Linked DNA regions of Astyanax mexicanus. Each later gene encodes a partner of the first gene's protein in a complex. Links are inferred from orthologs where the notes say so. Each region holds a gene or a part of one and is shown on either strand. Other genes may lie near its edges.

Region 1 (3,754 bases):
ATACACATCGTACGTGTATGAGCTTGGCCATTTTAGTGCTCTGCTATGTAATTATTCTTTATTAAAGTAAATCACGTGTGCCAGAGTGAGTTTTACAGGTGAATATGCTCATTGCTAAGATTTGGAAATTTCTTGCCTAAGCAATTGAAAGGATATGTCAGAAACAATAAAAATTATTGCAATAAAATGAAAAAGGAAAATGCCACAGAATTTGTTTGGAGAGCATATAATTTTATTTTATGTTTTAGATAAATATATATCAGTATCAAGTATTTTTTTTATTAACATTTAATAAATCCCTTTTACAGTTCACAGTTTACATCATTTGTGGGTTAGGATCAGTTATGTGTATAATATGTATATTATATATTTTATATTTAATATAATAAAAATAATAATAATGCTATATGCACTTAAAGGTTTCTTGGGAATAATATCAAGAGGTAGATGGATGATCACAAGCCATCAAACCAAGCTAAACTGGTTGAAATGTTGCACCAGGAGTGGCATAAAGTTATCCAAAAGCAGTGTGTAAGACTGGTGGAGGAGAACATGCCAAGATGCATGAAAACTGTGATTAAAAACCAGGGTTATTCCACTAAATACTGATTTCTGAACTCTTCTGAAAACTTTATAAATATGAACTTGTTTTCTTTGCATTATTTGAGGTCTGAAAGCTCTGCATCATTTTGTTAATATCAGGCATTTCTTATTTCTAAATGACAATATTTTTTTTGGGAATTTGGGAGAAATGTTGTCCGTAGTTTATATAATAAAACAACATTGTTCATTTTACTCAAACATATACCTATAAATAGCAAAATCAGAGAAACTGATTCAGAAACTGAAGTGGTTTTCCAGAGCTGTATTGTGGATCTGAAGCTCTCCTAAAGCAGTAATAATGTGGTAATTCTCCTCCTGGGCGCTCGGGGGCGGTGTGGGTCTCTCAGTCTGATTCTCTCCTCCACACCGCTAGACTGCAGCCTGATGAGAAACCGAGTCCAGTGTAAACAGCGCCTGATAGAAACTATCCCCGCATCACAAACATGAAGCTGGTGAGTGTTTTATAACCCAGACACTGACCTACTGACTGTACACACCTCTGAACACACGCAGACCTCAGCATGGCTGATGATGCTGCTCCACAATAATGTAGACTAAAGATGGTAGAATTTTCCGCGCTACCTTCAATCTGTGGAAGTTATCTCCGCGCGCCCGCTGCACCGTTTACTCAAACAGCGAGGCATTTAAGGTGGAACGGGAAATTCGAAGACAACACAACCTCGTGAATAGTAGGGTTAGTGTACTAGAATTCACATTGGTATGTTTAAAAAACTCAGTCTTTATTTGTATCATTAAATACCCAGTTGTTAATGAATTCACGTAAATGCATGTAAAAGTATATTATCTTTCTAAAAGTCTTTCGACTATATTTTGGAGCATTGCTGTGAGGATTTGATTGTATTTAGTGACAAGAGCCTGAATGAATCCAGGACCACCCCGCCCTAACTCATCCCCAGCTCATCCTAAAAGTACTGGATGGAGCTCCGTACATTTACTATACATCCACATGATATACAGTAACTAAACCAAGTGACCGTCTTCAAAACTCTCGAGTGCCCATTGTTGCCGGTGGACAGGGCTTAGCATTCAGATTCTCATTAAATTAATTCTGTACATTAGCCTAACTAAGATTACATCTTTCTTTTCCAGTATTGTTTATCTGGTCATCCAACGCTGCCTTGCAATGTCCTCAAGTTTAAATCAACCACAATCATGTTGGACTGTGGTCTGGACACCTCATCTGCTCTGTATTTTCTCCCTCTGCCGTTGGTACACAGGTGTGTCATCGTATCACTTCAGATTCACCTGAACCTTTTTATATCTAGTGTTGTGATGAATATAACCTTTGTAATAGGGTGATGATGATTTGTTGCTGAGTTTATTTATGTTCTTAACACATTTCAGTCCAAGACTGTCTAAACTCCCAGGCTGGGTCTCTAAGGACGGTACAGTGAATCTTGAGAAAGTAAGTATAATTTTTTACTCTTAATACATTAGTGCAGGGATGAATGTATGCATATTCAGTGTAATATGATACTTTACTTAACTGAATGTGCTCTCTGTTCTTGGTTAAAGGAGCTCAAGGAATGCGCTGGTCGTGTTTTTGTGGACACACAGCCCGAGTTTTGTCTACCTGAGGTGTGTGTTTGTATCCTGAAATATTGGTCTTTGGGGGGATTGTGGAGAACATTTTTTTGTTTACTACATCATTTCATGTGTCCATTAACCTGTTTTTGTATTTAATATTAATCTACAATGTAAAGAAAATAATTAAATAAAGAAAACCACTAAATGAGAATGTGTGTTAAAACCTTTGACTGGTACTGTGCCTTTTAAACAAGAAAATATTTAGTGCTTATTCTTGTATTTTACGCACTGATTGTACTCACATTTCAGGGCACTATTTATTCAAATTGTCTAAAATAGATTTCTTTGGGCTTCCTGGTACACTTAATATGTTTATACTGACGTGCACAATTGGTAGAACTGATTTTTATTTTTTATTTTTGGAATATATTAATTAAATGTTGCATCTTTTACATTCTGAATTATTTAAAGTTTGTAAAAAATGTGTCTATGGTGCCTAAACCTTTTCATGCTGGATGTGTGTTTTTGTTTTTGTAGCGAGAGCTGCTGGACTTGTCCACTGTTGATGTTATATTAATCTCTAACTACCACTGCATGATGGCCCTGCCCTACATCACTGAACACACAGGTTTCTCAGGAACAGTCTACGCCACTGAACCCACCTTTCAGATTGGCAGGTAGCCTGTTTATCAGTTCTGTATATATACTGTATTTTTCACACTGTAAGATGCACTTAAAAACCTTTAATTTTCCCAAAAATCGCAAAGTGTTGCCAACCGTGTCTAGCGCTTCTGTAAATTGCACTGTTGAAAATATTGGACATCTAAGCCTACTGTAAATAACAGAAATGCTTTACTTAACCAAATATATCATTTTAAGGAGAGAAATCTGTGTAGATTAACAACATGGCAACACCCTTGATCCTAACTATTGTCATTTAAAATGAGCCTTATAATCCGGTGCGCCTTATGTATGAAAATAGATCAAAAGACATTTATTATAATATGGTGCACATAATAGTTTTATTTTTCAGCTTTAACACTTGTAGAGGGTTGCAAAATATCTGATGGATGGAAGTCATATAGGTAAAAGGAGAGCAAGGGCTTCTGTTAATTAATTGATTACTAATTAATAATAATAATAATAGTATAATAAGAATAATAGTAATAATGATAAACCTCAATTTTCATACATTAAGGCAGCTGAAGGAACTAAATGGTTCACAACATCAGCTAATATAAACATTAATCAACAAATAATCAATAAAAGCAGCAAAAGATAAAAGTTTATGAACATGAAAAAGGTAGAAAAAAAATGTATATAAACAAATGTTTTGTTTATATCCTCAGACTGTTGATGGAGGAGCTGGTCACTTTTATGGAGAGAGTTCCAAAGGCTCAGTCTGCCACCTGTTGGAAGAACAAGGAAATACAAAGGTCAGGAAGCAGTGGGACTTCATACATAGTCATAAACAGTGTTAGTTGCATGTGTGCATTAACAATATTCACACTGTTTTACATTGTTGAGTGTTTTTGTTTTAGTAGCTTTAAGAGTGATGTTTTTGTTTTTAGGATGCTTCCTGGGCCGTTAAAGGATGCAGTAG
Region 2 (3,754 bases), on another chromosome or scaffold:
AGCTACAGATGTATGGTCAGACTTTGACACAGGTCTCAGAAGTTAAGTATTTGGGGGTATGGATGGATGGTAAACTAACTTTTCAGTCTCACATTAATAGATTGGTATCAAGATGTAAACATAGTATTAATGTAATGAGATGTCTAGCTGGACTGGACTGGGGTGCAAGTAGGAAGGCGCTACTGCAGATATATTTCTCTCTCATTCGTGCAGCAATAGACTATGGTAGTGTTGTTTATGGGTCTGCCTCAAAAACTGTGTTGCAGAAGGTAGATAAAGTTCAGTTACAAGCATTGAGGGTATGCTGTGGGGCTTTTAGATCTTCCTCAAACCCAGCGATTTTAGTGGAAACGGGTGAACCACCGCTGGACCTTAGACGTCAGCAGTTAGCCATGTCCTACTGGGTGGGAATAAAAGGGCATGATATAGATCATCCTGCTAATATAGTTTTAAGGGATTGCTGGGAACATGGTGATAGCAGAGGTAAAAGTTTTGGGTGGATAGCGGGTGAATTGGCTCGGCAAATGAATCTGGAAAGTCTCTGTTTATGTAAAACTGTGATTGCGGCACCAATTTCTCCTTGGCTATTTCCAATGCCGGAAGTTGACTTAAAATTGCAAAATGAGTTTAAGAAACATGGGAAGCAGGTGATGAAAGATCAGGTAACACTATCATATTTAGATCTCTATTATAAATATGACCTCAAAATTTATACAGACGCATCTGTGGATCCAGATTCAGGAAGAGCTGGAGTATCAGTGTATGTTCCAACCTTTAAGACGGAACTTATTAGGAGAGTGTCAGATTATGTGGCAGTGTATACAGCTGAATTGGTGGCCATTATGATGGCCTTGCTCTGGGTCGAGGATGTACGGCCCTTGAGAACAGTAATATGTTCTGACTCTCAGACTGTTTTGAAAAGCCTAACGAACGGTCAAAAGTCATCAAGGATAGACATTATTTATGACGTCCTCATGATCCTTCTCAGGTTACAGCATTTGGGTTTATCAGTTGGCTTTCTGTGGGTACCAGCTCATGTGGGGGTGGAGGGCAATGAATGTGCTGATATGTTGGCAAAGCGAGCCCTTACGCTGGACTTTATTAATGTTTCAGTGCCCTTAAGCAGGCAGGAGGCTAAGCTGCTCATTAAAAAATATGTAACTAGGACTTGGCAAGGTATGTGGGATGGGGAACAAAAAGGAAGGCATCTTTATAAGTTTCAAAGGTTAGTAGGACAGAGAATAATTAGAGGTAAAAATAGACAGGAAGAGTTGGTACTTACTAGGGTACGTATAGGACATTGTGGACTGAATCAGAGTCTGTTCAGAATTGGTAAACATCCGGATGGCAATTGTCTGTATTGCTCTCAACCAGAGACTATAGAACATGTCTTAATACAGTGTGTGGCATATGATATACAAAGGGAAGAGGTGTTTGGAGGAGTTCGGGCAGTAGGGAATCTATCTATACATAGTATGATTCACGACACATATAAGTTGATTAAATTTCTTAAATTATCTGGGCTGTTTAATAGGATTTAGAATTCAGCATTTCATGTTCTATCCAGTAAGTGGCAGTAATGCACCAATGACAGGAGTGCTGGCTGCCATTAATTCGACAAAGAAGAAGAAGCGCGAGCTGGGACAGACAGAGCGCGCTGAGGCGAACCCGGCGGTGGCTGTTTGTTAAAATGGCTGCTCACCTGAAGAAGAGGGTTTATGAGGAATTTTCTAAAGTAGTTCAGGTAAATAAAACTCAGTTTATCAGAAATACACTGTATTACTCAGAGTTACACCGAGATAAGCGCTGCTGCAGGCCGGCTGGAGCGATTAGCTAACGGGCTAATGCTGCTCCGCGCGCCGGTGTTTTTAATCAGCAGCTCATTAACTACAGTCTCCACTACTCTTTATTTTCTCTTTATTTAAGAGTTTTTACGCGTTTTTTAGTGTTTTTTACTCAGTAATGTATTGATATGTAACTAATATAACACGCCAGGAGTGCTTATAAACTTATACATTTATTAAAAAGACCAAACCAAGCTAATAATTACTCAAACACTGTGTTTGAGACTGTTTACATAACGTTAGACAGTTTATATTAAGTAGTTCAGCCATTAGTATAAATAAGTCTATGCAGCTACCAGGTATACCTTCAAATAAAGAAATAATATTTCTGTTTAAGGTTACAAAAAGAAGGAAATTACTTTTAAATAATGTCCTACATCTCTAATGAAAAAGACTTAACGTTACCTTGTAAAAGAAGTATATATTTTAAAATTATGCCTGCTAAGTTAAGTACATACTTTTAGCATTAAAATAAATACGTTCACGTATATAAAACGTTTATTTTAATTGTAATTAAGCTATATTTGAATATAACAAAAAGCATTAGGCTGTGCTTTAAGTGCCTTTTTTAATAACGTCTGCAAACTTAATTAGATTTAAGTATATTTGTGTCTCTAAAGCATACTTTTTGATACACTTAAAGTATGTTGTAAATGTTCTACTTTCTCGTATTGCTGCACATATGCTTTTGGGGGGGAAAAACTACACTAAAGTGCACTTTAAGCAGCATTTAATGCCACTACATATATTTGATTATATATACTTGTATAACGTATAATTTAATGCATGTTGCTTTAAACTAAATCTTATAGAAATACAGAAAGTATATTAAATAGAAAATGCACTTTTAACCTTATTTACCTAATCTGAACATACTTTTAATGCTCCTAAGTATACTTCTTTTTTTTTTTTTTTTTTACAAGGGATAATATGGGTCTGCCCTTTTGTACCTTTTGTGTGTTTATATGTATACATGAATTAGGGATGGGCAATACTGTAAAAAATAATAATCACTTTAGTTTTTACATAATTTCAGTTTTTATTTGGAAACAGACAGCAGCATTTCTTTTTCATTTAATAAAACAAATCTGAATAGTAAGCAGCCCTCTTCAACCTTTCATGCGGCTTTTATATTAAAAAAGTGTAAACACAATCTTATATTTTAGTGAAAGAAAAGTGTAAAATATGAAAATCGCTGACACATAAGAGTTACTTAAAGGTTTCTAACAGAGTCAAATGTCTCTCTTCCGCTTCTATATCTAAATATATATTATAATCATTATCTCATTTCGAAAATCATTGTATTAAAACAATAATTTTATTCCTAGGGTTAATATAACTTATGTCATTAAATTATTTGTATTATTATCAATTTTCCTTAAGCAACAGCTTCTTGAAGAAGTACCGGCGAAGAAGCTCCGGCTGACCAAACCCAGTAAATCTGCAGCTCTTCATATTGACCTGTGCAAAGCCACCAACCCCACAGATGCCCTGCAGTATCTCCTCAGCTTCGCCCGTAAGCCAGTGGAGGCAGAAAGTGTTGAGGGTGTAGTTCGTATCCTTCTGGAGCATTATTACAAAGTAAGTGTGTGTTGTGAGTCGGGTAGAATTGTGTAACAATAGAATTATAACGTGCAATGCTTAAATTGCAGATTTTTAAATAAAACTTTATCAAATTCAATTTTCCCAGCATCAGTATTGACTTCTTTTAAAAGTAAGACATTTTTGCATGGCCATGTTAAAATGCACAGCTGATTATAGAGAAATAAAGTGGAAACTGATCAGATTTAGGATTATGACATTGCGTATTATGGATGTGACAATTCATCGATGCATTATAAATACGCAACATACAATTTATTTTTTTATTGAAACAAAGGCGCTCTTTGTGCTGTAAACTTAGACTCGCT
Region 3 (3,754 bases), on another chromosome or scaffold:
ATTATTATGTGTATTTTACACTGGGGGCTTTTATTTTGTAACTTTTACAGATTTGTTTAGATACTGTTGCCGACTTCACGGAACACGCGACGCTGCATCAGAGAACTTTTACAGAGGAGAACACACACTTGTGTTTCTGTGTTCTGGGTTTATCAGACACTAGAGGGCTACTGAGTGAGTCCAAAAATAATAGGTTCCTATGAAGCAACTGATCAAAAATCACATTTTATAAGTGTTTGTACATTTAATCGATTCATAATTTGTCAACACAAAACCATATTAAATAATTTAACACCAAAGACAGACGTTTTAAAGCTTTAACCCTTTCAGATCTGAATTATGTTACAATGATGAAACAATATATAATGTATGTTATTCACTCAAAAATAAAGCTTTATTTAGTTAATAAATTAAATGAATATGTATTATTTGTCTTTTATTATTTATTATTATTATTTATTATTATATTATTTATTATTATTTATTTATTAAATGTGTGTATGCTGCCTTATTATCTGGGATGCTGCCATTTACTTCAGATTGCAGACATTTATTTTTCTAAATTGGGCAAACTGCTGTTTGATTGGCTAATAAATGTTTATTCTGACCTGTGTTAAGTGCAAGAAAACATAATATAAACGCAGGGTTAAAATGAGTCTGTTAAACGAGCTCCTGCTGTCAGTCACCAACCAGTCAGCGCACAGGCGCAGTAATGCTAGCGTCGTTACTGCATAAAACCTGTTTGTCGTATAAAAATGAAAACATAGATACGAGTTTACTTTGATTTATTAACTAAATACTTGAATTTACTTTCTTAAGCTACAGGAATAAGCCGGATAAGTAGTTCTTAAGTATGTTTAATTTGAGTTTTAGCTGTTCAGCTCCATTCACCGCCATTGATTGAGGACTCCCTCGCGGGCTCCCTCTGGTGGTGCGCAGTGTTTTTATGATTATTAGCGGGGAGGGAGGAAGTGGAGAGTCTCGCCTTAAACCAGCTGTGGCTGAGTTTACTGATCAAGCGTGCGGCGCCAAAGCCCTGCGACAGAAACCCGAAACACAGAACGAGGAATTACAGAGATAATCTCTCATTTACCGCTAAAATAACCCTTATATCGTACAGTTAAGGCCTTTTCCTGTTGGGGGAGGCTTCATACTGCACCAGTGAGTCACATTTATAAATGTTTTATCTGGAGTCTTCATGTTGATCCACTTTAATTTACACTAAGAAGTAACGTTAAAATAAAGCTGTTAAATAAAGTTATATATTTAATAATGTGTAGCCTGGAGTGAGAGCAGGGTTAAACAGGATTATCTGAGACCTACCTGTAGCCAGTTAAGATAACAAAAGGCCGGATTCTGGCTCGGGAAGCAGACTGTCATGCCTGAGTCTAAGGTTAGTAAAATAGATTATTATTTTATTGGTTAAAAACTCTTAATAACTAATAAAAACACAGCTGAACACTGTCTTTATCTGTGTGCTGCTGCAAAAATATAAAAGAAGATACTGATATATAAAATATTGCAATATTTATTTTTTTAAATACTTTAAATACTGGCCGGCCCACTAGACGGCAGTGTTTTATTCTGACGTTAGATTCCACTGTTCTGATTGGATAAAAGGCCCTATGATGTTTTATATATTTATTCATTTATTTATTTATTTATTTATTTATTTTTGCAAATTCCATGTCTTGTTTTTTTTTTTTTTTTTTTACTTCATCACTTATTTTTTGTGGCATTTTAGACTTTTAGATTTTTTTACAGTTTTTTTTTTTTTTTAATGAATGGTACATTAATGAAACAAACAATACCAAATGGTAGCTTTGTGTATCCAATAAGAGCTCAGAACCAGTTATGAATATGGAAGAAACAAAAAAATCAGTTAAATTAATGGAGCAGCCCATTATTTTTTTGTCTTAAAGAAAAGCCAGTAACTGTTAACTTTATCTTTAAAGGTCTCATTCCATCGTTTTTTCATTTATGTTATTAATTCATTTCATTGGTTGTGGTCTCCAGTATGAATTAATGCCATGTGAGCTGTTTTTTTGTAAAACAAAATGCTTAAGGTGTTTCTATTTAGCCCTGCTTTAGATCACTGAATTAGTGCTCTCTGAAGAAAGACAGGATTTGGCTCTTGCTCATGAATATTCATACATGCAAATATATCGCCTCTGATTGGCTAACAGCACAGCAGCATGGAACGCCTACCTGCCTTCCCTCCACAGTCAGTTTTGCAGCTCTAAATCTTAAAGGACAAAATGTTTTCAGAGATACAGCCTTACTTAAAAAGATACAGTACTAAGTGCTAGATAAAGTTAACCCTTAAACTTCACTTACCGTCAGACTCTCTGTGTCACGAGGCTGATAAGAATCGTTATGCTTCTCAGATACTGAAAATAATTTGTTCTGTAGTTTAATTTTTTGTTAAATGTTAAAGATAGCTGAATTTTTAGTTAAATTTTTTTATTTTTTCTCTATTAATTTATTTTAGATATATACCATATATATTTTTGTTTTTAAATTGTTATTATTGTGGTGTATGACATTTTGAAACTCTTGAAACTGAGCTCAGTAAAGATTAAATGTTATTTTTTCTTTTCTTTTCAGTTTCCTGCAAGATCACAACACTGACTGTTTTGTTCGTTGTTCCATGGAGAGTAACTGCTCATCCTTGCTGTCAGCTGTCTGTGAAGTGCTGCCTAATCCGAAACTTCTGCTTCCTGATGACACGTCTTTAGAGAAGCTTCTGGACTGGTTCAAAGACCTGATAAATCACAGTGAGTACACTACACTGACCTATTACCTGAAGTTTGGAGGTGTGTAGTGATGAACTAATCTGAAGCTACATGAAGTTTGGAGGTGTGTAGTGATGAACTAATCTGAAGCTACATGAAGTTTGGAGGTGTGTAGTGATGAACTATTCTGAAGCTGCATGAAGTTTGGAGGTGTGTAGTGATGAACTAATCTGAAGCTACATGAAGTTTGGAGGTGTGTAGTGATGAACTAATCTGAAGCTACATGAAGTTTGGAGGTGTGTAGTGATGAACTCTGAAGCTACATGAAGTTTGGAGGTGTGTAGTGATGAACTCTGAAGCTACATGAAGTTTGGAGGTGTGTAGTGATGAACTCTGAAGCTACATGAAGTTTGGAGGTGTGTAGTGATGAACTAATCTGAAGCTACATGAAGTTTGGAGGTGTGTAATGATGAACTCTGAAGCTACATGAAGTTTGGAGGTGTGTAGTGATGAACTAATCTGAAGCTACATGAAGTTTGGAGGTGTGTAATGATGAACTCTGAAGCTACATGAAGTTTGGAGGTGTGTAGTGATGAACTCTGAAGCTACATGACGTTTGGAGGTGTGTAGTGATGAACTAATCTGAAGCTACATGAAGTTTGGAGGTGTGTAGTGATGAACTCTGAAGCTACATGAAGTTTGGAGGTGTGTAGTGATGATGAACTCTGAAGCTACATGAAGCTTGGAGGTGTGTAGTGATGAACTAATCTGAAGCTACATGAAGTTTGGAGGTGTGTAGTGATGATGAACTCTGAAGCTACATGAAGTTTGGAGGTGTGTAGTGATGAACTCTGAAGCTACATGAAGTTTGGAGGTGTGTAGTGATGAACTAATCTGAAGCTACATGAAGTTTGGAGGTGTGTAGTGATGAACTAATCTGAAGCTACATGAAGTTTGGAGGTGTGTAGTGATGAACTCTGAAGCTACATGAAGTTTGGAGGTGTGTAGTGATGAACTAA

The links.
Region 2: the proteins of ints9 (region 1) and ints4 are in contact, whole or in part, in a cryo-EM structure (PDB 8RC4), measured with the Homo sapiens proteins. The link is inferred for Astyanax mexicanus from reciprocal best matches to the Homo sapiens genes INTS9 and INTS4. Residues at the interface, in NP_060720.2 of Homo sapiens: Lys2, Tyr4, Lys18, Ser21, Thr22, Leu43, Val44, Gln45, Glu87, Glu89, Leu90, Asp92, Asp97, Thr122, Glu145, Arg146, Val147, Pro148, Lys159, Glu174, Ser176, Thr177, Ser192, Gln195, Phe206, Gly207, Ile379, His380, Ser384, Asn385; in NP_291025.3 of Homo sapiens: Leu53, Gln54, Leu57, Gln58, Arg61, Lys62, Pro86, Ser87, Leu90, Lys91, Ser94, Gln125, Gln129, Asp132, His164, Gln207, Asp208, Pro209, Arg210, Arg212, Asp244, Tyr245, Glu246, Gln247, Trp296, Phe837, Gly840, Leu841, Val842, Val843.
Region 3: the proteins of ints9 (region 1) and brat1 are in contact, whole or in part, in a cryo-EM structure (PDB 8UIB), measured with the Homo sapiens proteins. The link is inferred for Astyanax mexicanus from reciprocal best matches to the Homo sapiens genes INTS9 and BRAT1. Residues at the interface, in NP_060720.2 of Homo sapiens: Gly276, Met277, Gly279, Glu280, Cys282, Ser283, Asn284, Ala286, Leu287, Arg290, Asn291, Tyr315, Asp317, Ser318, Ala319, Gly320, Ser483, His484; in NP_689956.2 of Homo sapiens: Ala406, Pro407, Cys416, Pro460, Gln506, Lys507, Arg508, Cys510, His511, Pro512, Arg517, Glu545, Leu549, Gln552, Asp556, Pro557.

The regions. Positions count from the first base shown.
Region 1 is NC_064408.1:84,687,794-84,691,547, forward strand, and holds the start of ints9 (integrator complex subunit 9), read left to right. Parts: upstream 1-947; 5' UTR 948-1,046; coding exon 1,047-1,055; intron 1,056-1,085; exon of another isoform or gene 1,086-1,297; intron 1,298-1,713; coding exon 1,714-1,841; intron 1,842-1,968; coding exon 1,969-2,029; intron 2,030-2,139; coding exon 2,140-2,202; intron 2,203-2,688; coding exon 2,689-2,828; intron 2,829-3,500; coding exon 3,501-3,587; intron 3,588-3,722; coding exon 3,723-3,754. UniProt on the Homo sapiens protein: Component of the integrator complex, a multiprotein complex that terminates RNA polymerase II (Pol II) transcription in the promoter-proximal region of genes.
Region 2 is NC_064416.1:5,385,147-5,388,900, reverse strand, and holds the start of ints4 (integrator complex subunit 4), read left to right. Parts: upstream 1-1,610; 5' UTR 1,611-1,690; coding exon 1,691-1,744; intron 1,745-3,227; coding exon 3,228-3,425; intron 3,426-3,754. UniProt on the Homo sapiens protein: Component of the integrator complex, a multiprotein complex that terminates RNA polymerase II (Pol II) transcription in the promoter-proximal region of genes.
Region 3 is NC_064428.1:4,847,407-4,851,160, forward strand, and holds the start of brat1 (BRCA1-associated ATM activator 1), read left to right. Parts: upstream 1-997; 5' UTR 998-1,161; exon of another isoform or gene 1,162-1,393; intron 1,394-2,607; exon of another isoform or gene 2,608-2,618; 5' UTR 2,619-2,650; coding exon 2,651-2,777; intron 2,778-3,754. UniProt on the Homo sapiens protein: Component of a multiprotein complex required for the assembly of the RNA endonuclease module of the integrator complex.